Linked DNA regions of Mus musculus: all the other regions are reported to be linked to region 1. The links are microRNA targets in miRTarBase. Many come from high-throughput screens and were not tested one by one. Region 1 holds a microRNA gene; each other region holds the end of a gene's coding sequence.
The links. Region 1 holds the annotated microRNA mmu-miR-149-5p (UCUGGCUCCGUGUCUUCACUCCC, at 2,751-2,773, opposite strand). A microRNA usually pairs through its seed, bases 2 to 8, with sites in the 3' UTR of a target mRNA and lowers its output. Matches are read on the target gene's strand: a 7mer-m8 pairs with bases 2 to 8, a 7mer-A1 pairs with bases 2 to 7 and ends in A, and an 8mer does both.

Region 1 (4,065 bases):
CAGGTTATCATAGTTATCAGAGGGCTGAGCCTCAGACTACGAGTACTGTGTGACATAGTCCAGCATCTCAGGAATGCAATGAGAGTCCTAGCAGGGCTCCCTGAGAGCCAGCTCAGCCCTCACATAGAGGGAGAGGCTGCCCGACTTAGGTTGGGGACCTGATAGAGGCTTTCGAGCCTGGCAGGTGCCTCTGCCCGGGGGAGGAAGAAGAAATCCAGCCTCTTCTTAGCTCAGGCCAGTCTCAGAGGCCACCTGACTGACAGCAGAGTGGAGTGCCCCATGAATGTTCTGCAGGGCCTGTGTCAGCATTCTGCAAGGGCCCTGGGTACCATTCTGGGGTGAAGAAAAGCATGCTCTGCGCAGGCACTGGGTCCCAAACAGAGGCCACTCAACCCTGGCCTGAGGTTCCCACTAGCTGGACACATTCCCAGTCCCCATAGTGTTCTGGCTGAAACTCCCTCCCCCGCCATCTATCCTGGGCTGGTGAGCTGACCTGTCAGCCCTTGGTGGCACTGCAGCAGTACCATTCAGGACAATATCAACTGCCACTTGCTGACAGAGGGTTGCTTTGGGCCTACAATTGGCCTCAAAGTGTCTACCATGGAGCCCTTACAGCACACACCTGAGAGTCTCCTGGCATCAGAAGAAAACCTCAATGGGAGAGGAAACCTTCTGCTAAGGCTATAGTGACACCAATTTACAGGGAATCTGAGGCTTGGAGACTGGCTTTTGTCCCAGTTGGGGGCTGAGCTACTCAGGACTGGGCCTATGCCTGACCCCACTCTGTTCTACTCCCTTCTCATAGGGTCACACTGCTGTCTCTGAGCCTAAAGACAGAGCCCTACAGTCCCTACAAGGGACTGGGTGGATCAAAAAGGCAGAGGCAGTGGCCCAGCCTTAGGTGAAAGGTCTGAGAAGAGGGAGCGGTCAGCAGGGATTCTAGAAGCTTCCCTCGTGCAGGAATGCTGATTTTGATGTTATGGGGAGCCAGTGAAATGCAGAGTTTCCAGAGCCCAGAGTAGGTGCCAGGGCTGGTACCTGGGCTTTATCCTTGCTGACGGGTTGATGGGAAAGGTGGGATGTGAAGAACTCCAGGATGTGATACTGCAGGCTGCCATCAGAGGTGGGGGACTGAGCCAGAGGGGAGTGGACATCTTGTCAAGAAGCATGTGGGGGCAGGAACCTGTGACCTCAGGATGAGGCCATTATGTGTTAGGCCCCATTTCTATGAACCCCCCTCCCCTGAAGCCAACTGGGAGTGGAGATCTCTGACTAAGGAGAGATTCTGAGGTTGCATTCACCCTTAAGAGCTTGTTACATGATCACATCCTTGTCTTTAGCACTTAGTAAGCACAAGCATTTATGTGTGCTGGATGGTGTGTGTGTGTGTGTGTGTGTGTGTGTGTGTGTGTGTGTGCATATTGCAGAGTGGAACTGTGTACAGCCTCTGTGATTTTGACCTGACATGGAAGGTATATATCCCCAGATGCCACCCCTCCATCCCTAGGTAGGGCAACCTTCAGATCTGCTCTTCCAGGTCTCAGGTTGAGGGCCTGGCCTAGCCCTTCTCCTGCTTACTAAGGCATGGGAGCTGTGCTTCATCCCAGAACCCTGGGGACTTTTGGCCTCACAGGCTGAGTCCCACCTGGTTTCAGGGTCCCCAAAGGTCCACAGAGCAGGGCAGTGGCTGACAGCTGGTAGAAGAACAGAAGGAATTGTATTCTGATTCAAGGGTGCTTGGGGGAGTCAAGAGAAAAGGGAGTCAGAGATGGGAGGTGCACACGGAATGCCCCTCCCACCACTCCCCTACCTGGTACCCTCTGCTCCTACCACACTGCTTCCTCCTGCCCAGGGCACCTGCCTTTCACAGGGACTGCAGGTCCTGGGAAGCAACATGTTATTAAGCACCCAACCTCAAGAAAGGGCTGGGTTGGTGCCCAGACAGCTGGGAGCTGCAAGCCTAGGTCCTGCCACTTGATCTGCATCCATTGATTGATTCCCTTCCTTCTAGAGTAGGGAGGGCTAAGCAGAGATTATCCACCCGCAAGCAGGCTACAGGCACAACAAGGTACAGGGCCCAGCAGGGCCTTCTATTTGCTCTGCTCCGGGCCATGGTCTGCTGGGCTGAGGTGATATGCCACATCTCTCTCTTTGAGTGGTGGGGTTTAAGGGTTTTTCTGTTAGAGGAGGAATCATGGGGGGCACTGTAGAGGATGACCCATCTCTGACTTCAGCAGTGAGTGGGGAAACAGCTATGGGGATGGAGGCTGCAGGTATCAGGATGGGGCCATCCTGGGCTCAGCTGGGACAGAGGCACTCTGTGTGTGTAGGCCAAAGGTTTTAGGTGGAAATATTGAGGACCAGGCTGCACAACAGAGCACTGGCAAGAGAGAGGTGGGCACAGCCTTACTGGCCCCTCCCATGGTTTCTGCTCCTCTGACATCCTTCTCCATCTTAGTGGTCCCAATTGCCACCCCTCACCACATAGACAGAAGAACGAAGCTGAAACAGGAAGAAGTTAATTAAGGACACACACTCAGAAACAGAAACTCGCCCCACTCCACGGCAGGTTCTGGATAAATGGGACCCATGAGACTTTTGGCCAGCTACTATGAGCATACCCCATCCAATGGCCTCCCCTGCAGCCCCCTGGCTCTGCCTGGCCACCTCACCCAGCCAGCCCGGTGACCTGCGCTGTTCCAGTTGCCCCAGCACCGCCCCCGTCCCTCCCTCCCTCCTCGGACAAACACGGGAGTGAAGACACGGAGCCAGAGCCTGGGCACTGGCCTGAGGGCCCCGGGCAGGCTGGGTCAGGCTGCCCAGAAGCCCATGCATTGGCAGACCTGCTTGCTGAGGGTCAAAGATAGAGGAGCTGAGACCCAGCCCAACTGGAACCATAGGTGCTCAACATCAGAACAGCTAAGGCAGGCTCTGCAAAGCTCTCTACACTTCCAGGAAAGCACTGGAGTACATACCCATCGTAGGAACGTCTCTCCGTTCTACCCTACCAGCAGCTTCCTCCTTGCCAGCCCTGAAGGTGGGTGGGAGTGGAGCGGCAGTATTGTTCCCCACTGACCCCGCCCATCTCTCTCAGAGTTGGTTTCATTTTTCCAGATCTTTCCCTCCTGGGTTTTTGGGGGGCACTACCCTCCCCTGGCACTCACAGGTTTTATTTGGGGAAGGGGGTTGTTTGTTAATGGCAGGTTTTCCCCACTTTAGTCCCTTTTCTAAGCCTTGTCCCCAACCCCAAAGCCTCTCAAATTCCAAGACCCCTGCTTCTTGTGACACTTAGCATGGCACCCCATTGCAGCAAACCCATGGGCAGCAACTGCTCATTTACCTCCTCCCAAATCTGGCTGCTTGCACCCCACCCCCGGCCCCCCACTATTCTCCAGAGCAGACAGCAGCTTGTGGCTTCCTACCTTTCAGGGTCACACCCTCCTGCCACCTGCTGACAGCTCCAGCTCCTGCTCCTCCCTCACAGAGGCAGCATCCCTCTTGGTCATCATCCACAGTCACCCCAGGACTTTAGCAGAGTCCAGCATCCTGATGCTACCCACAGACATCTCTGACCTGACCTCCCCTGACACTTCAGGGACCCAATGCCTTGAAACCCTCCACCTTCTGAAGATAATGCAGAGTCATGCTACCCCGCCTCTGGTCCATTCTTCTAGAAGCTTCCTGTGCTCACGGGGGAGATGCAGAGTGGAAAGCCCACTTCCCTCACGGCCCCTAAAACACTCCAGCTGGCACGGCTTGGGGGAGTGTAGGGGCATTCGGAGTATAATCTCTCAGCACCGCAGATAAGGGAGAGGCACAGGCTACACTCCCCTCCCCAGCTGCTGGCTCCTAGAGCAGGCCTTTCTGTTGACTGGTAGGTTAGAAGTAAACCAGCCCTCTGTGCTCCTGGGTTTTCCAGCCCCAGAGGCTGAGAGTCTCCAGGACGTGACAGCCTGGAGCAAATGGCCCAGCTTTCTGGGGGACTACTCACTGCCCAGGCTCCAGGGGCATTTTCCCATTGCTTGCTCCTGTTCCCCAACAAACCTGTCTAGTCCCCGGGGGTCA
Region 2 (4,065 bases), not on the chromosome of region 1:
AAGAAGGCACTGGGTGTGATGCAAGTGTATGTGAAGCTGCAGCAGCAACACACTGTGAAAAAGATGTAACGGTTTCAGATACAGAAAATGTAAGCAGCTCAAAGAACATCTTGAGTCATGATCCAGATGTTGGAACAGATACTATGGAAAAGGAAGAAAAAACACATCATGCTTGTCAGGAAATGGAGCTGAAGGTGGACCAGAGTTCAGAAAGCACAAATCCCACTGAAGCTGAACTGTCTTCAGAGACTCGTCAAGGTTTGCAGTTAACATCAGGGGATGTTGGCATTGATCAATTTCTGAGGCAAGGAGATGAACCTAAATCTGTGAATTCTGATGCTAGTGACCCAGGCAGTGTTCGTTTGGAACCTTTGACGCCATCAGAAGTACTTGAGTATGAAGCCACAGAGATCCTCCACGACGGTGATGATCCTTCAGCTAACACCAGTGACACGGTATCTGATCAAACAGGTGGCAGTCCTGGAGGAAGTAACCCTTGTAGAGCAGAGACAGCAGTAGACCTGGCAGATGGAGAGGAAAGAAGCTGAAGTGACATAGTCATTTCAAGTTTCATTCCCAACAGCACTTAGAACAATAGTGTCTGGTGAGCTCAGGAGTGCCGTGGTAAAGGGCAGCCGAGGGAGATCTGAGGAGGTCTGTCATACACTTCACCTGTGTGTTCAATCTTATTAAATCAGTTTACCAGTAATAGCATGGTTAGTATGAATTTCCACATTTAAAAAAACCTGAATAGAACTTTAGTGAAAACTAAGTTTGTCATCCAAAGGTCTCTTAGCACTTTTTGATAAAATCTTGTTTACCAATATGAAATTATTATAATACTAATTGCTATGTTCATCAGACTTTTCCAACTTTCATTAGTACTAAAAGTCCTCATCACCTGAATATTTCTTTTAGTAAACTTAAAGGAAGAGATTTAAAACCATGCATTTTTTAAAAATACCTTTAAACTGCCTATCAACTGTTACTGTTAATGAAGACTTTGTTTTTACTATGATCCTGGTGATAAAGCATGCTTAGAGTGCTAAATTGGCCTGTTGAGAACTTGGATGAATATAAAAATTAAGTTTGGATTTAATATAACATTCCAATCTGTCAGAAGCATGCAAACAGAATTTTAGAATCTGTGCACCTCCATACAAGTGTTAGCCTGCCAGGCTGTCAGCTTACCTTTATTAAACTTTCAGTGAAAGTGAAATTATGAAAATATAAGTTTATATTTGTGCTTTTAGTCAGTGTATAAGCTGTGCAGAACCCCACCTCAGCCCCCATGAACTAGTTGTATAAAGTAGAAATCTGTTATTGAAGCTCTTAAATAGCTACTATGCTTTTAATATTATTTCAATGATTTTTAGCAATAGACCCATAAAAATGGTCTGGAAACCAAACCAAAGTATGGTAGAATGTAGGCAAAAAGAATTGACCTAAAAACATGCCTCCGCATGTACTCAACTATGTTAAGGGACTTCCTTAATTGTAAAAGTTGAAACTTCAAATGGGACCCTAAAGCATATGTTTAAAAACAAAAAAAAAAAAGTTTGTGGAAATTAGCCTAATTTATCAGCTATTAAGTTGATTTTTAGATATAGAAATGAATATAACAAACAATTTCATTTTAAGTACTAATAAAATTTTATTTTAAATGCTGCATTTTTAATTCTTAAGATGTACTTTGAATTCTTAAACTGTCTAATTGAATGTTAAACGTTTTCAAGGCCTGTTAAAATTCTGTTGTATATAGTAGTTTTTGAGCAGATATTTGCAATAAAAACCTGTCTTTGAATAATTTTATATTCAGATTCCTGTTTGGCTAGCCTGTCTTTGTTGCTGTCGTGTGCATTGTAGGCAGTAGTTCTTGTACACTATAAGCTCCATTCTGTGTGCTTTACTAACAGACTGAACTGAAAACACAAGGGACACACTGCTAATACTTACACAGTAATTCTTTCACATTAAGAGAAAGAATAGTATTGTACATTTATTTTCCTTATCAATTTAAAGAGGTTGAGTAGGAAAAACACATAATTGTTTTCTTGAACATTTAAAGAGAGCTGGTTTTTTTTCATCTTTCCTGCTTCCAATACAAGTTGTAACACAAATCCACCACAGGAAAGTAATTTGCAATATTATAAAACTTTCGAGCCCAGGCATAGAAAATAGTTCACCTATATGAGGACCACTTAATAGCATTCAGTTTCTTGTCAAACCTGTTTTTCTATACTATAAAATTCGTGTACAAAACCCTTAGATCAAAATAAGTCTCCAAAGCATCTAATTCCTTGAGCTTTGTAGAGTTTCATCTCTACCCAATAGCCATATTCAAAGTCACTGATGAGTGCCCTGTGTGAGAAGGAGCTGGTGTTGGACTCTTAGCTGTTCACCCAGAAAATGAAGTAGTAGGGGATAGAGGACAATGAAAGAAGCCTTGTGCTTAGCAGCTTACGTGCTGTACCTTCTTCTGCTATGAGGAAGTCCTCATACTTCCTCCTGAGTAGTCGGGAACTAACAATTCAGATACAAATTCAGATACAAAATCAGCCTTTGAATAGTAGTGAGCAGTCTAGAAGCAAGCATGTCCGCAGTGAAACTGAGGTCTATGTGGTTTGTAGCATGAAAACAGCGGTGGGGAATATGTAACTACTGAGGCTGTTTGTGTAACTATTTACAAAGCAGCATGCTGGGTACATGGGGGCCATAGGGTTACATATACCTACTTTGAGTTTGGGTAAAGGCTAGGATGTACTCAAGTGACCTTAATGTCACTTGAACATACAAGGTGCCTTGCAGGTACAACACTTTAAAGACATTAAGAAGCATCATACTGGCCGGGCGTGGTGGTGCACACCTTTAATCCCAGCACTGGGGATGCAGAGGTAGGCAGATTTCTGAGTTCGAGGCCAGCCTGGTCTACAAAGTGAGTTCCAGGACAGCCAGGGCTACACAGAGAAACCCTGTCTCGAAAAACCAAAAAAAATTAAAAAAAAAAAAAAAAGCATCATACTGCTTTGTGGGGTTTTCTTTTTAATTTATATTAAAACTGAATACTTTTTTCCTTAGGTCATTCTCTTTTGCATCCTTTCAATGTTTTAAGGAAGACCTTGTAAGGTTTTTTCATCCTATGAATTTTAAAAAAAAAATTGTGTGTGTGATGTAGGACTGGAGGTGTGTGCATGTGGTAGGGGGTATGTGGAAGTCAGGGGAAAACTCTGGAATAAATTCTCTACCTTTATGTGGGTTCCTGGGGTAAACTCAGGTCACCAGGCTTATACAGCAAGCCCTCTTCTTGCTGAGCCATCTCTCCAATTCTCATCCCATGAATATTTAAAGAATTATCCTAAACATTATCAAAAAAAAAACCCTGAATATATATATAAATGTGTGTGTGTGTGTGTGCGCACGCCACACACACACACCTTGGCTGTACACACAAAAGTGAAGAAAACAATACCCACCAGTCACTGCATAGGATACAATGCCAGGACTCGAGCCTAACTTGGCTTTGTTCTGAAGCTGGCGTTTCTACTACACCTACAATTACAATTTCTAGCACTAAATATTCTCTTATGAAAAAGCTTTTTGTCAACCAGGCGGTGGTGGTGCACACCCCTAATCCCAGCACTTGGGAAGCAGAGGCAGGCGGATTTCTGAGTTTGAGGCCAGCCTAGTCTACAGAGTGAGTTCTAGGACAGCCAGGGCTACACAGAGAAACCCTGTCTCGAAAAAAAAAAAGAAAGAAAAAAGCTTTTTGTCAGATAACTCTTATTGGTGAGTAAGTACAGTTTCATTTATCATTTCACAGTAGTTATACATATGGAATCAAAGATTTCTTTTTTTTTTTACTTTATAAAAAGTATATATTTTTAATTGGATATTTTATTTGTTTACATTTCAAATATCCTGTTTCCCCTCAGCAAACTTCCTATCCCATCCCCCTTACCCTGCTTTGAGGGTTCTCACCCACCCACTCCCACCTTACTGCCCTAGCATTCCTCTACACTGGGACATCAAGCCTTCACAGGACCAAGGGCCTCCCCTCCCATTGAT
Region 3 (4,065 bases), not on the chromosome of region 1:
AGCTTTGAGCCTGCTGAGATGGGCCTGCTGCACCAAAGCCTCCAGCTCCCCGCACTGGGGAAAGCAGGCCTTTAGAGTTAGTTAGGTCAGCAGGCAGTAGCATCACTAAACCCTTGCCTGCTTGTGTGTCACTGACGCATGCCTTTGCCTCTGGTGAGGTCACTTCTCTTCTCACCTGTAGCTTGTCTGAAAACCAGTCTTTGCTGAGGATGCCCCCCTGGGAGAATATCTGGCTCGTGGGCTCCATCTGCTTGTCCATGTCACTTCACTTCTTGATCCTCTACGTGGAACCTTTGCCGGTGAGTCATGATGGACCCCGGGCGGGGTCTGGGGTAGTTCCTTTCAGGCAGGGCCAGAAGCTTGACCCAGCCTTGTTTGTCTCAGCTCATTTTCCAGATCACACCGCTGAATCTGACCCAGTGGCTGATGGTGCTGAAAATCTCCTTGCCTGTGATCCTCATGGATGAGACGCTCAAGTTTGTGGCCCGAAACTACCTGGAACAACCCGGTAAAGAGTGTGTGCAGCCTGCCACCAAATCTTCCTGCTCCCTGTCGGCATGCACCGATGGCATTTCCTGGCCGTTTGTGCTGCTCATTATGCCCCTGGTGGTCTGGGTCTACAGCACAGACACTAACTTTAGCGATATGTTCTGGTCTTGACTGACAGCGCTACATACAGAAGATGTTTAACTTAATCAATTAATTTTTTATTGTTTAAAGCAACTGTCTATTTCTGCTGAATTTTCACATGAACATATTGGCTGGTGAAGGAGGTTTCATATCTAGATTTTGTTTTGCTTTTTCTGACTCCAGTGGGACAAGATTTTCCTTTTTTTATACACATAATTAAAGTGTCCATTGACGTGTACAGAGAACTAACACTATTTTATGCAGATATTTTTTTGTAGATGAAAAAGCATGTACAGTGTTCTGTTTAATACTCATACTTGTACAAAGATAGTTGAGCCAGCAGACATTGTCAGCAAATTAATTGGCAGCAGACTTAGGAAATGAATGTGTGTGGTTTTTAAAAGAAAAAAAACTAAATAGCATGTATTGTGTCTTTTGCATGATTCTCTGGATTTAATTTGGTATCACAGTCTAATTTTTATTCATAAGCCAATTTTTCTGCACTGAGCAGAGTCCTGCTACCTCAGTCAGTATTTTTGGTTTGCCACTTCCTGCACCCTCAGCCTCTGTCACCCCCAGCCCACCCCAGCCTGCTCGGCTTCTTCTGTAGGTCTGATGGTTCTGTTTACATCCGTCTTCACGAGAGGTTTGCCTGTCTCGCTTGTGCAGAAAACATTGCTCCAGATCCAATCGACTGGGTTTCTGTCCCTTCGCCTAGTTTTTAAGGTTATTTATTTAAATGTCTAATGTATTTTATTGTAACAGACATTGTTTTGCCAACATTGCCTATTCAATGGCACTTCACAATCTAGTTTAAAAGAAAAATAAAACATTTTAAATGGACAGAGAAAAATAACTGTCTTGTTCTTAATGGCCTTGAATTACGTATAATCAGTTCAAATTTCTGAGCTTCTCAGCTTAGAGCCTTAGTTTCCTGTTCTGAGAAGAGTCCTGTTCTGCCGCATAGTAGGATTTTATTTATAATGTATAGGCACGATCTGTCATGTGATATACATTACTCAAGTTTCTGCTGGCCCGTTGTATGTAGGTTGGTGTAAGGGCAAGTGTGTGTTTATGTGTGTGTATGTTTTGTAAAATCTGTAAATAGCACATGACCAAATGAACATATTGTATAGAAATATTTTTATTTGACTATGGCACTAACCACCACCACCATGACTGATGAACGTTTGCGCATGTTCAAGGTCAGTCTTAACGGCAGTGTGAGTCATTAACAGTCCTAACTGTGGTGTTTTCCTCCAATGCCTTCCAACATCCATCAACTAACGTGAGTATCTTCCCTGTGGGACTGGGGTGCTGTGGCCTGTGTACAGGTGGTGCCACTGATGAGCTGGCCCCTGTTGCTAGTGAGCTGCATGGCTCCTGTGTCCACCAGGCAGCCACTCACTACACAGGCTACCCTAGTGTAGACACTGACCAGGACAGCGATCCCTATGAGCTGTGGGAAGGAGAGCCTTGGGACCTGGCTGACTTCAGGCTGAAGGAGCTGTGTCACCTCTAGTACCAAACTGAGACTGGACACAAACCATGTCACAAGGCTATGGGTTTTCAGTGGCTGAGGAAGACTAGGAAAGCCAGCTGACTCCGCATAGGCAGCTTTTGTCACCCTTCAGGACATGTCTCAACCCTCTGGTGTGCAGAGGCCTGGAGACTGCGACCTCCTCCCTAAGTTGCAGGAGAAAGTGCCAGGTTCTGAGGGAACCTGGCACTGACCCTTCCTTGGGGAGGCCTCTGTGTGCTACAGGGAGCAGTGATTCTCAGGAAGCAGGCAGGTTTTGATGGAGTGGGCCAAACACAAAGGTACAGCTGAGTTAAAGACCAAATCAGAATGATAGCGTGCTGGGCCCTAACACCATGCTGTTCAGTGCCGTTTACGAATGAGTGGGCCCTAAAGGAAATGGACCTCATCCCTGAGTGCTGTGTTGCTTACTGGGACCTGTTCAACCCCAACAGATAGACTAACACTTGACCCATCCAGCCACAAGCAAGGCTGACAAAACCTTCCCCTGGCCCGCATAGACCAAGGCCAACAGCACAGTCCCAGCCACAGGCCACCTCCTGCATGTCCTCAGCCCTGCTCTCACCCAGCACCCTCAAGAAGGGACAGCATTTATTGTGTCAGCATCATGCTCAACCCACTAGGGCAGTCTAGCCTGGACCCCAGCCTTGAACTTTCCCGGAATGGCCTCTTCAGCAAAGCTGTCTAAAGGTTCCACCCTGCAGCCCACTCAGCAAAATTCAGGTGGTGGCCTCCCCGGAGAGCTAGCAGGGCTACTAAGGCTGGAGAAGGCTAGCCATCTCACAGCAGCTGCTATCACAGCACCCTCAAAATAGGGTCTCAGCCCCAACAATGGCACAGGCCTCAGGAACATCTAAGATGGCAGCATTGGCTCGGTGCCTGCAGAGCCGCAGAGCCAAAAAGCATGGTTGCCCTTTGTCGTGAGCTGCCAAACTCCATTAGGACTGACCCCTGCAATTGGGAAACCTTCAAAGCAGAGCTGAGCCTGTAGCCCAGGACTGGCTGCCATAGAGAACAGGGAGGGACAGGAAGGCCTCTCCCCTGGTGCCATGCCACTCACTGCTCCACCTGCCTCACCCTCTGCATGGCTCTCAGCCCTGTACCTGACATGCCTTCTAGTTTCTGCCTCCTGGAACTTTGGTAGGAGGCGGCCCAGGGCAGTCACCAAGCCACTGCTTCTAGATGTGCCTGGGCAGCAAGCACTTGGAACACTCCGTCAGAAATGCTGGTTTTGCATCTAGACCAAATGCAGTGTTCTTTCTGTCTGTCCCTGTTGTTGTGTCTTAACATTGCTCTACGTTTCGAAAAGCTGATTTCCTCTCTCTTTCCTTTTCAGCAATACTGGAGTAACCGCTTCCTAAACCATTTGCAGAAATATAAGGGTGTTCGGGTGCGTGCATGTGCGTTGTTAGCAACACATCTACCAGCCCTCTGCATGACTGAGGTTGGGGAAAAGAAAAATAGAAACAGTCCCCAACTCACTGTGTGATGTGGAGGAAATGTGTATTACCAGTGGGGTTTTAGCTGTTCAATCAAAATAATAACAAATGTACAATTTAGCATAACAAATCAGAGAGCCTCTCCAGAGAAGTTGGTTTCTTTGCTGCGAGAAGGAGGTTCTGAAACCTTATCCAAGAACAGAAGCCATCAGCCAAGTCTCCACATTTCTCTGCAAAATGTCATAGCCTCTCTAACTGTATGATAATTGTAATGCATGCCTTCAGTTGTAAGTGGCCAGATTGCTCTACAGTGACATTGAAACATGCTTTCTAATGGGCCCTGTACAGTTTGCTTATTTATAAATTCATTTAAAACACTACAGCTGCTGAATGGTTACAACATAGGCCTCCAGTCCTAACTTCAGTTGTTTAGGTGTGCAGCCAGCTGTTCCACAC
Region 4 (4,065 bases), not on the chromosome of region 1:
CCCTGGCCTTCTAATGTCTGATTTATGCAATAAGGGAGTCAAGTAGAAGGCTCATGTGCTGTCTCGGGCTGCCTATCAGTGTGGCTCAAGCCGCAGGTGCCAGCACAAGCATTCTCAGCAGAACTACCATCCACTTTCCTCCTCAACATAAACCTCTGGGCATTGTGGATTCAGACTGGCAAGTACTCTCCTGATGGGGGGACCAGTGCCTCCTGCTGGACCCTCGCCTCCCTTGAACCTTGTTTCAGCTTTCACATACAGCTCCCTCACTGGGGGCCTCTAGGTAGGACCACTGAGCCACACTCTAGCCCATCACTGGGGGATTCTAGGCAGGGGCTCTCCCACTTAGCCACGCCTCCAGAGCCTCCCTGGGGAATTCTAGGCAGGGCTCTACCACTCAGGGGCTCTACCACTGAGCCACAGCCCCAGCCCCTCCCTGGAGCCATGCTTTAGTACAGAGCTTTCTGATTGGTCCTTGGCTTCTATACGTCCTTCATCCCTTCCTGACTCAGCAGCTAGAGCAATTCAGTCGAAATGAATACTAGATAGTGTCACTCTACGGCTCCTTCCCAGCCAATTGCTCCCACAGACCTCATTCAGCAACCCTGTGTCCCTAGCCTGAGCTACTCTGTGTACAGTGTTCATGATGAGAATGAGAGAGAGAGAGAGAGAGAGAGAGAGAGAGAGAGAGAGAGAGAGAGAGAGAGAGCTGTTTCTTAAAATTGTTTATTTTAAAACATGAAACCCAAGCTGAATAGAGACCACAGAAATTACATGGACAAGAACTTTAGTTATTTGCCAAGAAAAATAAAGTTCCCCACAGAAATAAAAATCAAACCCCAAACCCAGTTTAAAAAATGAAAGCACAGCAACAGTAACACACAGCCATGGCCCTACAGAGGCTGGAGGGGAACTTGGGGCTGGCTCGATTCAGATGACATAGTCCACTGGGGGCAGATGCAGGCAGAGGGACCGTAACTGGGAGGCAATCTCACAAAATCACATATGGGAGGAAGGGTGCGGCACACCACCGCTGTGATGAAAAACAAAGAGACCCTGGTCACCTGTGGCCCACCAGCTAGCCACCTTCTGGGCCGGACAGAGCTGGGACCGGGTAGGGCAAGCTTTGGAGCTGGGGTCAAGAATTGCATAGTGATATGGGGGGGGGGGGGGGCGGGGTGGGCACAGGGAGAAGGGCTTGAAGGATGCTCCAGGCCGGGATCTTCTGCTACTCACATAAACCAGAGAGTGTTGGTTGGGGTGGGGGCCTCCAGTCCTATCAGTTTTCTCAGCCAGATCCCTCCTCCTGGCTCGGCAAGGGATCGGGCTCTGGTTTGGTGGCTTAGCCCTCCTTGTTACCCACCAGAGCTGTAGGGTCCCCTTGGGTAATAGGGACTGGGGACCAATCACAGGCAGCTGGCACTGGACTGCTCACTCCCTGGGGATGTGGGGGTGGACCACTGGGATTGAGTAGGTAAGTGGCACCCCAGAAATCAGGAAAACGAAATGAAGCCAACCGCAGTGGTAGGAGCCGTCTCCTCCGCAGGGGTCAGGGCGAGAAACCCCTGCTTTCATTTCCCCTGCTTCCTTTCTTCAGCCTCGGTGAGTGAAACGTCACAGATGGGGGCACTCACGCACAGAAGGTCAGGACTCCCGAGACAGCACAAGTTCACAGCCACGTCCGGGCAGTGCCCGCCTCTCATGCTATATACATTCACCTTGTGGCCTGCTCACGGCCAGGGGGCAGCATTTGTGCTTCTGAGAGGCCCCAGGGCACACCCAGGCACCCAGGCAGGGATACCCCAAACCTCCCTCCGGACCTTAGGCCAGGAACATACCCATAGTGGGCAGGCTGGCTGCAGCTGGGCTGCTCTGGCCCTGGAGGTTCCTGGCGCCAGGCCAGTTGGAGTCAAGGCCAGGGTCCCCTGCACTGATGTTGTCGTGCTTAGGAGCTACAGATGCCCCGACTGGGACCCCTAGGCCCTCCGAGTCCTCTGCCCACTCCTTTTGGTCCCAGACACCAGCACAAAGAAAGGGATTTTGGGGAAGGAAAGCAACGTGGAGCCTCTCCCCTCTGGGGGAGCTGAAGCCCAGGGGGTTCTGGGATCCGTAGCTGCCAGGTTGCTCCAGGAGGGCCACAGGTCTGTAAACCACTGGGTCCCAGCCTTGCCCCTCCCACCACATGCTGCTCCACTGGCCCGTAGCTGCCCATCTCACAGACCAGAGCTCACACTGGCTGGCTGGGCCAGGGTAGAGGCTCCAGGTCCTGATTTGGAAGCTAATTCAGCCCAGAAGCACAGCAAACATCACACACTAAAGCCAAAAGCACCTTAGGCAAGCGGTGTTCTGGGTGTGGGGGGCTGAGGCCACATGGACTTCAGTCCCCGGACCCCAGGACATGCTCCTCCTGGGGCAGCACCTGCCTGGGGAGGGGTCTCTAGGCCCTTTGAGTAGCCTGTGGGTCTGGCCCCTCCCTGGCAGCACCCCACAAAGAAATGACCACTCTAGCCCTGGCTCCAGGCTAGACTTAGGGTCACGCTTGCTGGCTCAGGGTCAGCCAGGAGTGCCCATGGCAGCTGAGAGTGAGGTTAGTGGTTAGTCCCAGCGGGGGGTGGGGGGGGCCTTCTGAGGCTGGGGGCACATTCACAGCCGTCACAGGTCCAGCCCCCAAGGCTGGGCTCCAGAGGGCACTGCCGCTTGTCCTGGGTGAGAATGAAACCGAGAGGAAAGTGGGCAGTGTCCTGCGTCGCCTATGTCCCAGACTGCCCTGGAGATGACAAGTGTGGTCAGTGCAAAAACAAAGGGGAAGACAAAGCTGCCACTCTTCAGGAATGAATGGGAAAGAGGGTTTGGCACCAAGAAGGTGGCCAGCACTGAGAGGCCAGGGAGTGACCTGGGCTCAGCTTGGCACCTGCTGTCTGGGGAGGGCTGGCTGGGCACTGAGGGAAGAGTCATGTGGGGAGGAGGTGTAAGAAGAGCCCCACCCTAGAGGCAGCTCAGAACCAACAGGAAGAGCCAAGTAAGCCAGGTGGCTAAGGGAAGGCAGGCGCCGGACGTTGCAAAGACCAGAGAGTATGAAGGGGCCGTTCGGTGATGAGCAGGTGGGCGCCAGGCACAGGGTCCCCTGCCTGTGAATGGAGATGGGATTCTCAGGAGTGTGGCGGTAGGGCAGTACCAGGAAAGGCTCGCTGTAGCTGTGGGGAGGGGGACGCCCAGAGTGCAAGGGGCAGCATGAAGGGTCACCTGTAGAAGGAACGCAGGCAGGGTGGAAGCACCCGGCACAGAGCAGGGCTCAGGGAGCCCAAGAGGACAGAAGGGCAGGGGAGACGGAGGCAGGCAGGGTCAGGTTGCTGGTGGCAGCGACTGTCCAGGTGAGCACCCCAGAAGCCTCACTTCACAGGCTGGCCCGGAGCTCATGCTGGGCACCTCCATGCCTCCTGCAGGGTGGGTATAGCGGGGGGGCCTTCAGGTGTGCCTAGGGCTGGCCCGGTGTGGCTTGTGGAAGGTCCAGCAGGGCGGAAGCAGCGGTGCTGGCATAGGAAGGGTGGGGCATTGGCACGTGGGGGCAGATGGCTGGCCGGTGTGCGGTCTAGTGCCCGCTGCCGCTGGAGTCGGGGCGAGGCTGGCTCGTGGCGAGGTATTTGGCTCTCATGCTGGAGGTGTACTAGAGGAGAGAGGGAAGGAGGGAGCAGGGTCAGGTGAGTTCCTAGGTGGGGGCTGAGCAGCCAGCAGCCTCTTTGATGTGGTCCTTGGTAGGGTGAGCCACAGCCGACCCTTGGGGAGAGCATGGTTGGCGGAATCCTAAGGTAAGAGGCCACTGGCCCAGGGCTGGACCAAGGGCTGAGTACAGGTTAGGGAAGTGATGGTACCTAGAGTACAAAGGTCAGCCTCTGTAGCTGAGGCTGGATCACCCAGGCAAGTTCCCTTCCCAGTGAAGGACACCCAGTCCCCTTCTGTCGCTAAATCACTTTCAGAGTCCCAGTCAGATCTTTGCCACCTCCAGTAATTCAGCTCAAAGGCTCTGAATGCATCACACACGCTGAGCACAGGAAGGCCACATGGACC
Region 5 (4,065 bases), not on the chromosome of region 1:
AAAAATGTTTATTTCCTAGTATCTTCTGACTGCTGTGGTGCCAAAGATCTCTAGTGTACTTAAACTTGATGACTCAGAACCCGTGACAGATGCAGAAATGTGATCCCCCACACTTTTATCCTAGAAGGGGTACAAAGCTGTTGTGTTAGCCTAAAATGATTTGGGGATTTCTAAAGTCAGGGATGACTTTAACTTTTAACATAAGTATATTTGGAGGATAGGACGACAAACATATATATAGGTGTACTCTAAGTGTTCACATGGGAATGAATAATACCAGAAACAGAAAGTTATATATATCAAATGAATATATTTTATCCTGCAGAAAACAAATAGCAAACATTTGTATGTTAATTTAAGAATTCAAAAGAGCAGAGTAAATAATTACTAATTTCAAATTCAAGTAGACTCAAATTGGATTGTAGGCTTGACTGAATCACCGCTAAAAAGCCTGTTACATACACATACACACACACACACAATGAAAACACTTATTTTTTTTTCCTAACGTTAAAAATCTTAATTATAAACTAACACATTTCAGTGTGAGTTTCAATAATTCCCAGGGGGAGAGTATGCAAGAGAGCTCTCTGTTGAGCTGTGCCGTCTAATATAAACAGTATGCACAGGCAACTAAATAAAAACTTAGCTCTTAATCATTTGTGTCAAGTGCTGGCCAGCCATCTGGCTGAAGGTTACTGGACTAAACACCAAATAAAGACTATTTCCATCATGATAGAAAATGCTATTTGTCCAGATGTGGCACATACCTATAAACCCTGCAGGAGCAACATAGAGGCAGGATTCTGTTCAAGATGCTGTCTTACTGGATCATACTGCTAGAGGGCGCATATTTTGTATTCATCTCTCACCTACCAGATAGTAAATCTGAAACTACTTTTCCCCCCTTAACTGTTGGGTTGATGGTTGGGCCAGAGGCCTCATCGTACGAGGAGTATTCGATCACTGTCCATCACAGAATTGATATGACTACTTTGCTTAATTACCACCAAAACCCTTATTTAAAACTTATTTATTGCCAAATTCAAAGTTTAATGTGAGAATCCACATTAAGAACCACTAAATCACCTCATGTCTCCCTTCTTTATGGATCACTTTTAAACGGGGTCCTCAACAGATTAGTAGTATGTGTGCTCAGGTGAACAAAAGGCCTAGTACTAAGTGGGAGAGTATGAAGAATCTGGGCTTCATCTGCAATTTGATTTTGTGACATTATGATTTTAGAGGCCCACAATTTCTTTTGATAGCTTATTCCCACTTTATTTACAGAACAGTTGCTACATTTTCAGACTTCTCTATCCTTCTCAGTTAATACAGTAAAAAAATACATTACAAGGCAAAAATACTCAGAGTAAAAAATAATGCTGAGGAAAAATATCTAAGCTCTCTTTATTCTGGTGAGGCAAGGAACATTTCTAACCACTGAGTGCTGATTTAAAAACTCATCTAATTATCAAGACAATGCAAAGCCAGGCCCGGCTGCTAAATGCGTGCCTGGAATCCCAGCACTTGGAAAGCTAAAGCAGAATAACTGAGTTCAATGCCAGCCTGGGCCATCAAGTTTATTCCAGGCCAGTGTGGAGTGATGCTCTTATCTCTAACAACAAAACAGAATGCGGAGCAGATTTCCAAAACAACTTTTTTCTTTTTTTTCGAGACAGGGTTTTTCTGTGTAGCCCTGGCTGTCCTGGAACTCACTCTGTAGACCAGGCTGGCTAGAAGATAACTTCTCTCTTTTATTGTTATTTGGTTCCTCAAGATAGGGTTTCTTTATGTAGCTCTGGCTGTCCTAGATCTGCCTGCCTCTGCCTCCTGGGTACTGGGATTAAAGGCTTTCCACTATACTCAGCTTACTTCGTGTCTAAGGTTGTTTGATCGTACTAAGTTTTTTATATAAGCCAAAAGCATGGACCAACTTAAAGGGTTTGCACTGGGATCCTCTGTGGAGCTGAGTTCTACCACCTTCTGACAGTGCTCTAAGTGAATAGCATCATTAGTTACCTGAGTAAAATCAAACTCACTAGTTCACTTTTATCAGATGAAGTCTATGGCCAGCTCTATAAGAGTAAGCATTCAATGACACCAGCTATTTTAAGTGTTAGATTATATATAAAACACAGGGTTTTTTTTCCCTCCACCTCTTGTGAGGTGCGGCATGGTAACAATGTCCGATCTGCCTGACCTATCAAATAAGCACTAGTCTTACCTTACTAGAAAATTAAATATGTAAGAGAGATAAAAATGGAAAAAAGAGCCAGGTGCGGGTATCGCATCTTTAATCATAGTCCTTGGGCAGTAGAGGCAGGCAGATCCCTGAGTTTGGTCTACAGAGTTCTAGGACAGTCAGAGCTACATAGAGAAACCCTGTCTCAAAACAAAAAGGGGAGGGGAGTGCTGGTGAGGTGGCTCAGGGATTAAGAGCACTGACTGCTCTTCTGAAGGTCCCAAGTTCAAATCCCAGCAACCACATGGTGGCTTGCAACCATCTGTAATGAAATCAGACGCCCTCTTCTGGAGTGTCTGAAGACAACTACAGTGTACTTACAGATAAATAAATCTTTAGAAAGAGACAATCCACGAGCTGAGATCCTTCAGAGGCTACCTTCTGTACAACAGCACGCCAATTAATGTTTTCCAGGGCCGAACAGCCAGGACTGAGAAAGTACACAGTGATGGCTTTCTGCTCAGACATGTCATACCAGTGTTTTGAAGAATAAGAGAAAAGGGCACCAGCTAAATACTGGTTACCAACCCTCAGAGACTGAATGAAGGGCAATGTTCTATTTTTATTTGTATGTGTGAGACTGGGTCTCTCCCTATATAGCTCTGGCTGTCCTGGAATTTAGACTGTAAAATTTGAATTTGGCACTAGTGGTAGAGAGAGTCACACTACAGGCATGGAATGAGAATCTGGAAAAAAACCCAGGAAATAATACAATTAAGGCATACAGAGAAAAGTGATAGCCTTAACAAAAAAGGAACAGTGAGACTATTTCTTTTAGCATGGAATAACAGTGATGTGGAAACACGTCCTGTACAACAGCATTTGGGAGTGAGGTCGGTATGGAGGCACACTCCCCTGAAAGAGTCCTGGGGTGAAGAGCAACAGATGGCATGAAAAAGGAATGCCCACTTGACTACCCAGGCCCCAAGATGGCACACATGCCATCAGCTGTTCCTGTCTGCACCACTTGTAATTTCTTCTCAACAAAACCCAAAAACAACCAAACAAATGGTGGTAATAACCCCGATGAGTTTTCAATGAAGCAACTCTAGTGAACATCTTCTCGTTCCAGCCTTTATCTCAGTACTTGGTCAACATAGGCTTGCTGGCTTCTTTTCCTTGCCTTCCAGACCTTCAAGGTATTTTACTTACTGAAGAAGAGACTTCCCAATTAAACTTTATTAAACTCAATCTGCTTTGTGTTCTGTCTTCATAAATAAATGTTTTCATAGCAGCAAGTCAGTATCCATTATTGTGAAGTATGCTTTCAAAGAAATTTACACTCCATCATGAATTGTTTGTTCTCCATGGAGTTCAGTTTGCCAAATGTAGATAAAGTGCACAGCTCTCATTAAAATTCAAGCCACTCTGTCATGTAAATACAATTAGACGGCGAAATCTCACCACCTTCATGGCAGTCCTCAAAAACCTTTAAAAAATAAAAATAAAAAGTCTATTCAAATTCAAGTTTTAAAATATCAGATCCCCACTGATTTAAAGCAATAGTAAATGAAGAAAAAAAAGAAAGAAAATATTCTTTGAAACAGATAAGGACTGAAGAGCATACTGTAACAGTGCCTACTTTGTGGTCATGGTTAACTATAAGCTTTTATATTTTGGTTTGCTTGGTTCTCTTGGTTTTTGCTTTTTAAGACAGGGTCTCACTATGTAATCCTGGCTGTCATGGAATTCACTATGTAGAAAAGGCAGGCTTCAAACTCAGAGATCCAACTGCCTCTGCCTCCCAAATGCTGGGACTAAGGTATACACCTCCCTGCCTGGCTTGGAGGCATATTAACACAGCATGAAGACGAGCCCAT
Region 6 (4,065 bases), not on the chromosome of region 1:
AGCTGTGTGTGGCTTCCACCTGGGCTACCTGGATGGAGAGGTGGAACTCGTCAATAGCGTGGTCACCCGCCTCGTGGCTCTGTACAATCAGGGCCACATCAAACCTCGAATTGACTCAGTCTGGCCCTTCGAGAAGGTGAGCTTGAGGACCCAGGGGCAGATGGTTCCTGTCGTCTTTAGCCGGGCTCTGTAAGTGGGGCGGACAGCATCAGGGACGGTCTTCTCTTTCTCTCCAGGTGGCAGATGCAATGAAACAGATGCAGGAGAAGAAGAACATAGGCAAAGTCCTCCTGGTTCCTGGGCCTGAGAAGGAGACCTAGGGCCAGAGGGCTGAGGGCCCTGGAGAGCCGGGGAGGGAGAAGATGGGAAGTCCTGTCGTGTTGCCCACCAGCCTCTCACATTTCATCCTGTCACGATGCTCTACCCTCCCTCCCTCCCCCAGAGAAGGTCTCTGCTGATGACTGCTTCCCTGCTCTGAGCTCGCTCTTGCCCTTCGCTCAGGGCTCTCCCTCCCCCCCACCCCTTCCTGCCCTCAGGAGAGGTTGGGAAGTGACCACTTGGATGTCTGGGCCCTGCCAAGGGGACAGGGGGGGTCAGCAGGAGGCTGGCTGCTTCCTGCCCTCCCCCCTCTCCCTGGGCCTACCATGCTGCTTTTGTGCCAAGGTTAGCCAATCCCTCCCTGCCCTATCCTGTGTGCTTCCACCTCAGCCTCATCCTCCCTCCTGCCCCACCCCCACCCAAAGAATCTATGCGTCAGCTCAGGACGTGGGGCCGATCTGTGTGAGTCCAGCATGTACCTGTGTCCCCCGTAGTATCCCCGCAGCCCAGGCCGACGAGGCCCACCCCTGGACTTGATCAGTATTCAACCTTGTCTCCTGTCCCCAATGTCGTAAGCACAATTAGACTTCTTCCGGCTTGAGTTTGCTGCCTCCTACAGCAAGGACAGGAATCAGACCGACTCCCTAGCTTACGCTCTGGGAGGGGTACTGGGTACCCCACCCTTCACTGAGGCCTTTGGATTTGTCTCAGTGCCTTAGCATCTGAAAACCTGTGCTTGTATATGTGTGTGTATGTGTAGGGGCAGCCCCTATCTCTGGCTCCTTTTCCACCCTTCTCCCCAGTGCCTTCCTCGTCCTGGTGGAGCTGAGGCCTACTCCTCCCCAGTCCAACACTGCCAAAAATCTGTGTATGTGCCAGGGGTCGGGGGTCTGGGGGTAGGGGACAGCTCCAGCCTCTGGGGACCAATTGCTTTTACTGTGGTCTGTGGCCTGTCCTGTCTCTGTCAGTGGAGAAGAAAGGCAGTGAGCTGGATCAGCCAGAGTTCTGGGAGACAACGCTGGGTCTTATTCTGGGACCAAAGTGAGAATTCAAGCACATTTCTTTCCTTTGCTATGTAGGGAGGCTGCTGCCTTCCCAGAGCCTGGAGGCAGCTCTGCTGTTCAGCCCCAAACTTTGTTTACACTGCTAGGGAAGGAGGAGCTCCGGCAAGGGAATAACTAGGCTGGTTAAAAGAGTCAGGGCTACTGGAGCCAAGGTGGGGACCTTTGAGGCTAGGTGGGGGTCACCTGCTGCTTCTGAGCTTGGATTAGAGAAAGCTCTTAACTCCAGCCACTGTCAGAGGGAGTGTGGAGGGAGGGACCCGGCCTCTCTGTTGTCAAATTGAGGCCTCCATGTGGGAAGTGTGATTTCTGCTTTTGTGTCCCATCCCCACCCCACCCCATTACCACAGCTGCCTTTGTGTCTGTGTCAATAAAAAGCCAAACCCTGAGTCCTGACCAGATGTTGTATCTGAGAGTTGCTGGAGAATGGGTGGTAGTGATGCGCACCTTTAATCTCAGCAGTTGGAGGCAGAGACAGGCAGCTTGGAGTTACAGGCCAGCCTGGTCTACAGAGGGAACGTCTGGAATATACAGAGAAATCTAGTCTCAAATGAAAGAGAGAGAGAGAGCGCGCGCGTGCACGAGCGAGCCATGGGAAAGCCAGTGTCAAGGTCTGCGTTCTGCCCTCTCTCTCAGCTATCTTGAAGTAAAGAAGACCATCACACCAGGTTGGCACTTTGACCGTTCTTGGTAGCATTAGGCAGTAAGTGATCCTAGTCCCCAGCAGGTGGACATGCAGGCCTAGCTTGACTCGGAAGTGAAGATAGCCAGGCCCTGCTGCCCTGAAGGCACAACTGTCAGGGCCTCCACCTCCCCGCCCCCACGAGTGGGCTTCTGGAAGTGGATCTCAAGGATGTCATGCAGTTCCTGGGCATCCATGACATCAGGAATATTTGTCACCAGCACTGAATGAGGGGCTTGCTGGAATTTGATCTAGAAAAAGAGACAGGAAATGAATGAATTGCAAGGGTTCATGGGAATGCAGGGCAGTGGCGAGCAGAGGCTGGAACAAGGACCATCCCACAAAAAACATGGGATGGGTCTGGAAGCTCAGGCTCCTGTGTAGGCTGGAGAGGCTGGGGGGCCCTGAGCTCTCCCCGACAAGGAGACGCTTCCCCAGCCCCACCTTCACGTACCTCGGCTTTCTGGATCTCACCACTCACATAGGGAGAGACCCTCAGGAGGACCTGCTGCCGGTCCAGTGGGACTCTGAACTGGCCAATCTGGCATAAGTGCTGGGCCACTGTGAGAGACAGGGAAGGGTGGCCTTGAAGGCTTCTCGAGTCTCGTGCACCCTGGCCCCCTACCTCTTCTGTAGGACCCTTACCTTCTTCATCAGCAAACCCTAGCATGACGGTCCCTTGCAGCATCTCCCGGGTCTCTACATCCCCACCTCCATTCTTGGCCTTGCCAAAGAAGATCTCCAGCTTGTCCAACAGTTCCTCTTCACTCAGCCTAAGTCCAGCAGGAAAACCACTAACGAGCACCCTGTGGTTATCTGGCTGGCTGGACACCTAGCAGGAGACAGGGCAGGCTCAGCTGACCCACTCATCCATAGGACCCAAATGCTGAATCCCACCTGTTGCATGGAGGACCCTGCCACTCTGTCACCTGAATGTTGGTCACCACAGGCAGCTCCAAGGGCTGGACCTGCACCCGCAGCCGGCAGTCCTCTAAGTTAACTCTGTGTTCCTTTTGTTGTAGCAACCGATCAACCACTGTGGGTGGAGAGACAGGGTCACTATTAGGAAACCTTATGGCCTCCCCTCGGAGCCTCCCCACACACCAAGGCTAACCTTTGGGGTCCTCAAAGGTGACCAGAGCAGAACCTTCAGGCAGAGGGCAGCAGACCTTCAAGTTAGAAACTACAAACTTGGGCACTTGCCTGCCCTGCTTAGTTTGGCCTTGGAATACCAGAGGAACTTCAGGTACTGAGAATGGGATCTGGAGGTTGGGAGAGGAAGGTACGTAACAACCTTGAGAAGTAGGAGAGGTCCCTACCACTCCCTTCTGGGCAGAATGTGTCCCCTGATTCTGTTTGATTGATGTGCAGTGCAGAAAGCCTTCATAGAAGAGCTGGATTGTGTGGGTACAGGCACGACACACCAGCCAGTTTTCATACAAGCTCTCGTCCTCATGCAAGCCTGGGAGGTAGGTAACTTCACCTCACAGATGAGAAAACTGAGAGCAAAGAGATCAAACAATGTTCTTGAGCTCACATAGCAAGAAAATAAGTAATTAAATATATCCATGTGCGTGTGCATGTGTGTGTGTGTATCTCCAGGTACCCGTCCAGGCCAGGAGAGGGTGTTGTTTCTCCTGCAACTAGAGTTACAGGTAGTTATGAGCTGCCCCATGTAGGGGCCAGGAATTGAACCTATGTCCTCTGCCAGAGCTGTAAAGTGTTCACCACTGAGCCATCTCTTCAATCCCTTTCTACCACCAGGAACACCTCAGTTCCCACCTGACCTTGGCTCCGGGAGAGCCTGTGCGCTCCCTTTTGAGCTGCTGCAGCTCCTGCAGCCTCATCTTGAGCCTGGCTTGCTCCTCCTGAAGACTGTAGAGGACCTGTTGGAGCAGAATAAGAAGATAACCATCAGCCTTTCTAGAACCTGGAGGAGGGAGCGGGGGCTGGGCTGGGCTCTCCAGAGCAGAGATGATGTTCAAATCTTTGAACACTCCCAAC
Region 7 (4,065 bases), not on the chromosome of region 1:
GCTAAAGTGGTAGAAATGTGAACAGCACAGTGTATAATGTTGATGGATCACCCAGTTCACCTCTGCTTTCGTGTAAAGCTAGCAAAACTTGAGCATTAAAGGGTGAAGCCGGCAAGAAACAGCCAGGATTAAACAGAAAAGGGGGGCGGGGCGGGGGAGAAAAAAAAGAAAAAAATTCAACATTAAAAAGATGTTTTGAAGGGTGGGAGGTGGCACCCACTCTTCCAGAGGACCAGGATTTGATTCTCAATACTCACATAGCAGCTCACTCCTATCCCAGAGGATATAAGACCCTCTTCTGGTCTCCTAGGGAACCAGGCATGCATATGGTGCACAGATATACATGCAGGCAGAAATCCCATATACACAATAACTTAATTAAAAAAAAAAAGATTTTGAGCCAGGTATAGTGGCACAAAACTGATACAAACAGATCCTAAGTTCAAGGCCAATCTTTTCTTTTTTTCCTTTCGCAACAGAATCTATACTGGTCTGGCTGGCCTAGAACTCACTATATAGACCAGACTGGCCTCTAATTAAGATTGGTCTACTTCTGCCTCCTAGATGCTGTAATTAAAGGTGTATTACACTATACCTGGCTAACATAGGTAATTTTGAAGGTCCAGTCTCTACAAAAGAAGGAGCCAGATATGGTGACAAACACTTACAATCCTAGAGACTGGGAGATAGAGGCAAGAGATCAAGAATTCAGCTTGGCAGGGCTGGAGAGATGGCACAGCAGTTAAGAGCATTGACTGCTCTTCTAAAGGCCCCCAGTTCAATTCCCAGAAACCACATGGTGGCTCACAACCATCTGTAATGAGATTCAATGCCCTCTTCTGGTATGTCTGAAGACTGCTACAGATGAAAAAAAAAATTCTTTTCAACTTGTCTATACAGCAAGTTGAGGCTAGCCTGGTATCAGAGACTAAGTCTTTAGAACAACAATAAAATGGTGTATGGCGGGGAAGGGGCAGAAAAAGACATCAGTTCAGTGGCACAGCACTTGCCTGGCATGTCTAAGCTCAAGTCCCAGTACCACAAAATTAGTTTTGAAAGAGGATTAACACAGGAGAATATAGTCAAGTGTTTAGGAGTATTTCACCTTTGGTTGTGAACTCTTTAGAGGGAAGATAGCTCTAGGAAACACTTCTGTCCAAGGCTGCAATTCTCCAGCAGAAACAAGCTACTTGGCACAACACATGCTGGAGGCACAGATGGGTGTCTGGCTTCTTTACACTGAGTGTTGAAGATAATACTAGAATCCCGGTTCCCTATTTCTATATATAACCAGGAAAAGTACTAAGAAGAAAACAAGGATGTTTTGGTAATAGTTAACAGAAAACCAATACTCCATGAACTTTTAAGAGAAAAAAATTACAAAGAGCATTAAAACCAGCAGGACACTTTTTCCCTTCATTTTTTGCATTACAAGGCATTAACTCTCAGACTGTATCCTCGGTCCTTTTATTTTTTATCTTGAGTCAGGGTCTCACTAAGTTCCCAAACAGGCCTTGAACATACAGTACCCCTGTATCAGTCTGGGACTGTGTACTTTTTTGTCACCAGGCCAGACTTCTTAGGACTAATCTCATTATTATGGTTTATATTATATAGGACTAAATATCATTGTTATGGTTGCCCAAAGGCTAAGATTTTGCTTTAAAAAATATGGTCACTGCAATGTACATGCCCACTACTCCTGACTACTCAGTGGGTGGTCCTTTCCTCTAGTTGCCAGTCAAGATCCTCAGGAGCTCTGGCTACTTCTGTGCTATTTTCATCTGCCCTAATTACTACTAGCCTTGGTTGCCTGAAGGACAGATCTGCTCTCTAACCATCCTTCATTTCATCAAGTTAAGTACAGACATCGGTCACTTATCCAGCATTTGATATTGCCTCTAACATCTTCAGACAACTACGGACTACAGAGAGAAAAAGCTCACCCATGTGAGGTATGGGTTAGGTGCTATTCTCCCACCACATTACCATTCACAAGTTGTTCCTGGCTGACTTAAGTAAGGCAAAGCTTCACTGTCTGTCTACCATGTCACTGCAGTACAAGCTGCCTTCTCAACGGTGCAGTATAATTGTTGGCATAATTTATTCAAGAACACAGAACTCAAGTAGCAGCTGAGCAGGAAAGCAGTGTTAACAAATGCTGTGAATGGGTCTAGGGTTTGCATATTATCTGGCTCATCTGTGGACTGAAGCACTCCATCCATTCCTCTCATTACTATCAACAACCCGGTGGCTAGATGCTCTGGCCCAGACAGCTTTGCTTTAAAAAAATCAAACGCAACAACAAAAGCAGCTCAGTAGCTGACGAAGTCTGGAATTAAGGCTACTTCAGCGTTTATTCTTTTTCCTCAGCGTTGGAGCTGGGACAAGACTGCTCAGCTCCAAACTCTGTTATTTCCTTACTTTTAGTCCTGATTCTCCAGCTTCCTCAACTATACAAGAAGAAAGAAATGAAGAGAAGATGGGCATTTTTCAGGGGACAAAAAGTAGAATAGGAGCAGAAATAATAGCAAAGCAAGAGTAAACCAAAAAGGAAGTAGTTTGTTGTGAGAGAAGGTTGTGTCAAAAAGTTAATATCAAGACCTGTCGGTTTCTGAGGCCATAATCTTCTATGTTTTTAAAATAAGCTACAACTAAAAATCCTCAGACTCAAGTGGAGAGGACAGGAACATTAATCCTCTGAGGACTTGGTGGCAAATCCACAAGCCATGAGGCAGTAAATTAAAGAGCATCACTGCTGCAAGGACGTAAAAGCCAGTGACACTGTGGCTAGTGGCTCCTCTCCAAAAATTCCCAACTTAAAATAATGGCACGGAAGGGAATGGCATGGATCTGCTGATGCCTCTTTGGTACAGGAATGCTTTGGGAGGCCATAAAAATTGGCAGGGTTAGAGGGTGCCCAGCACCTTGGCACAAGCAAGCACCAGGCAATCACTCACACCTACATAAATACAGTCTAAATATGAGGGATAAAGGAAAGAATACACACACACCACGTGATAACTGTATCCAGCCCCATCCTATTATCTTCCTGCACTACAGCTTACAGACTCCACAGTTAATCTTGTCATTTAATAACAAATTGATACCACTTTACAGAAGCAGAATCAGGGATTGAAAGTAACAAGGCCAAGAAAGTGTGAGGGCTAAACAGAGCGCCTTGACAGATTTAAATGTGAAGTTTCAAGCCCTAAGAGAACTGAATTGTTATGGGAGGGTATGTGAGGATAGTCAGGAGCGGCCCAAGACCACACCAGGGACCCTGTATTCTCCTGGCAGAGCTAAATGAGATCGGAAAAGACACAACAGGTAGGTTGCCCTTAATAGTTTTCTAAATAGATGGACAATATCCTTTCTATGCCAGTATGTCAAAACAAAGGCCAGCTGGTCATCAATATAATCTAATAACAATCAAGAAACTGAAGTCATCGTCATAATAAAATCTCCCAAAGCAACCAACCCCAAAGATCATGACTCTAAGGTGATTAAAAAGTTACAGGGGAACAGAAGGAAAAGATCAGGGTGAAAGAGAACACTATGGGAACCACACAGCATGTGAATGACGTAATGCCTGACGTTCACAGAGCTACACTTAGGAATCAGATCATCAGTTATATTACAGGAGAACCAATACCAGCATCTCCCCCGTGGAGCACAGTGATGAGCGCAGTGGTTTATGGATGCGTTTAGGATGGAAAGGGGTGGGAGGAGAGAGAGGAGGCAGGAAAGTAAAGGTATTATATACAAAGAGAAACGACAGAGACTGCCTCCTCCTTTAGCTCTTCGCGCTTTCTTTTTCTTTGTTTTCCGCATCCTCTGGATATGCGTGCCACGTCAGTCTCTCTTCATAAAATGCTATCACAATCTGTGGACACTTCACGTTAGCTTCTTTTGCAAGAACCAGGTCAGCTTCATCTGTGTCTTTCCTGGAAAGAAAGGGTGTAAGACTTAGGAGACATGAAACTGAGGCAATCTGTCAGTGTCACTGTCTGAGGTTAGCTGGTTCGATCTCAAAGTAGAAAGGGTCTTTACAGGGCTGGAGGT

Region 2: the mRNA of Zfp280d is a reported target of mmu-miR-149-5p. The part of its 3' UTR that is shown has no 7-base or 8-base seed match.
Region 3: miRTarBase lists Atp2a2 as a target of mmu-miR-149-5p. Seed matches in the 3' UTR shown: 7mer-m8 at 964-970.
Region 4: miRTarBase lists Ttyh3 as a target of mmu-miR-149-5p. Seed matches in the 3' UTR shown: 7mer-m8 at 2,543-2,549, 7mer-m8 at 2,511-2,517, 7mer-m8 at 1,307-1,313 and 7mer-m8 at 921-927.
Region 5: miRTarBase lists Polr3f as a target of mmu-miR-149-5p. Seed matches in the 3' UTR shown: 7mer-A1 at 2,847-2,853, 7mer-A1 at 1,801-1,807 and 7mer-A1 at 684-690.
Region 6: miRTarBase lists Vat1 as a target of mmu-miR-149-5p. Seed matches in the 3' UTR shown: 7mer-A1 at 1,314-1,320.
Region 7: the mRNA of Cbx5 is a reported target of mmu-miR-149-5p. Seed matches in the 3' UTR shown: 8mer at 2,191-2,198, 7mer-A1 at 1,759-1,765, 7mer-A1 at 1,225-1,231 and 7mer-A1 at 492-498.

Annotation. Positions count from the first base shown.
Region 1 is chr1:92,849,089-92,853,153 of GRCm38, reverse strand. Mir149 (microRNA 149) reads right to left here and starts at 2,776; the gene lies at 2,711-2,776. All of the region lies in intron 1 of Gpc1 (glypican 1), which reads right to left.
Region 2 is chr9:72,361,960-72,366,024 of GRCm38, forward strand. Zfp280d (zinc finger protein 280D) reads left to right here. Exons shown (of 22, transcript NM_146224.5): 22 at 1-1,812. The coding sequence ends at 548. Among named protein-coding and RNA genes, the nearest start is that of Gm27230, 26 kb to the right of the region's middle.
Region 3 is chr5:122,453,746-122,457,810 of GRCm38, reverse strand. Atp2a2 (ATPase, Ca++ transporting, cardiac muscle, slow twitch 2) reads left to right here. Exons shown (of 20, transcript NM_001110140.3): 19 at 182-299; 20 at 385-1,487. The coding sequence ends at 660. Among named protein-coding and RNA genes, the nearest start is that of Anapc7, 33 kb to the right of the region's middle.
Region 4 is chr5:140,619,868-140,623,932 of GRCm38, forward strand. Ttyh3 (tweety family member 3) reads right to left here. Exons shown (of 14, transcript NM_175274.5): 14 at 710-3,664. The coding sequence ends at 3,590. Among named protein-coding and RNA genes, the nearest start is that of Lfng, 15 kb to the left of the region's middle.
Region 5 is chr2:144,538,221-144,542,285 of GRCm38, reverse strand. Polr3f (polymerase (RNA) III (DNA directed) polypeptide F) reads right to left here. Exons shown (of 9, transcript NM_029763.3): 9 at 507-3,674. The coding sequence ends at 3,597. Rbbp9 (retinoblastoma binding protein 9, serine hydrolase) reads left to right here. Exons shown (of 5, transcript NM_015754.2): 5 at 1-21. Among named protein-coding and RNA genes, the nearest start is that of Rbbp9, 11 kb to the left of the region's middle.
Region 6 is chr11:101,456,448-101,460,512 of GRCm38, reverse strand. It overlaps Vat1 (vesicle amine transport 1), which reads left to right. Exons shown (of 6, transcript NM_012037.2): 5 at 1-136; 6 at 237-1,765. The coding sequence ends at 320. It overlaps Ifi35 (interferon-induced protein 35), which reads right to left. Exons shown (of 7, transcript NM_027320.4): 2 at 3,849-3,947; 3 at 3,176-3,323; 4 at 2,991-3,097; 5 at 2,707-2,893; 6 at 2,516-2,622; 7 at 1,812-2,312. The coding sequence ends at 2,121. Among named protein-coding and RNA genes, the nearest start is that of Vat1, 7.7 kb to the left of the region's middle.
Region 7 is chr15:103,195,845-103,199,909 of GRCm38, forward strand. It overlaps Cbx5 (chromobox 5), which reads right to left. Exons shown (of 5, transcript NM_001076789.2): 5 at 1-3,947. The coding sequence ends at 3,797. Among named protein-coding and RNA genes, the nearest start is that of Smug1, 35 kb to the left of the region's middle.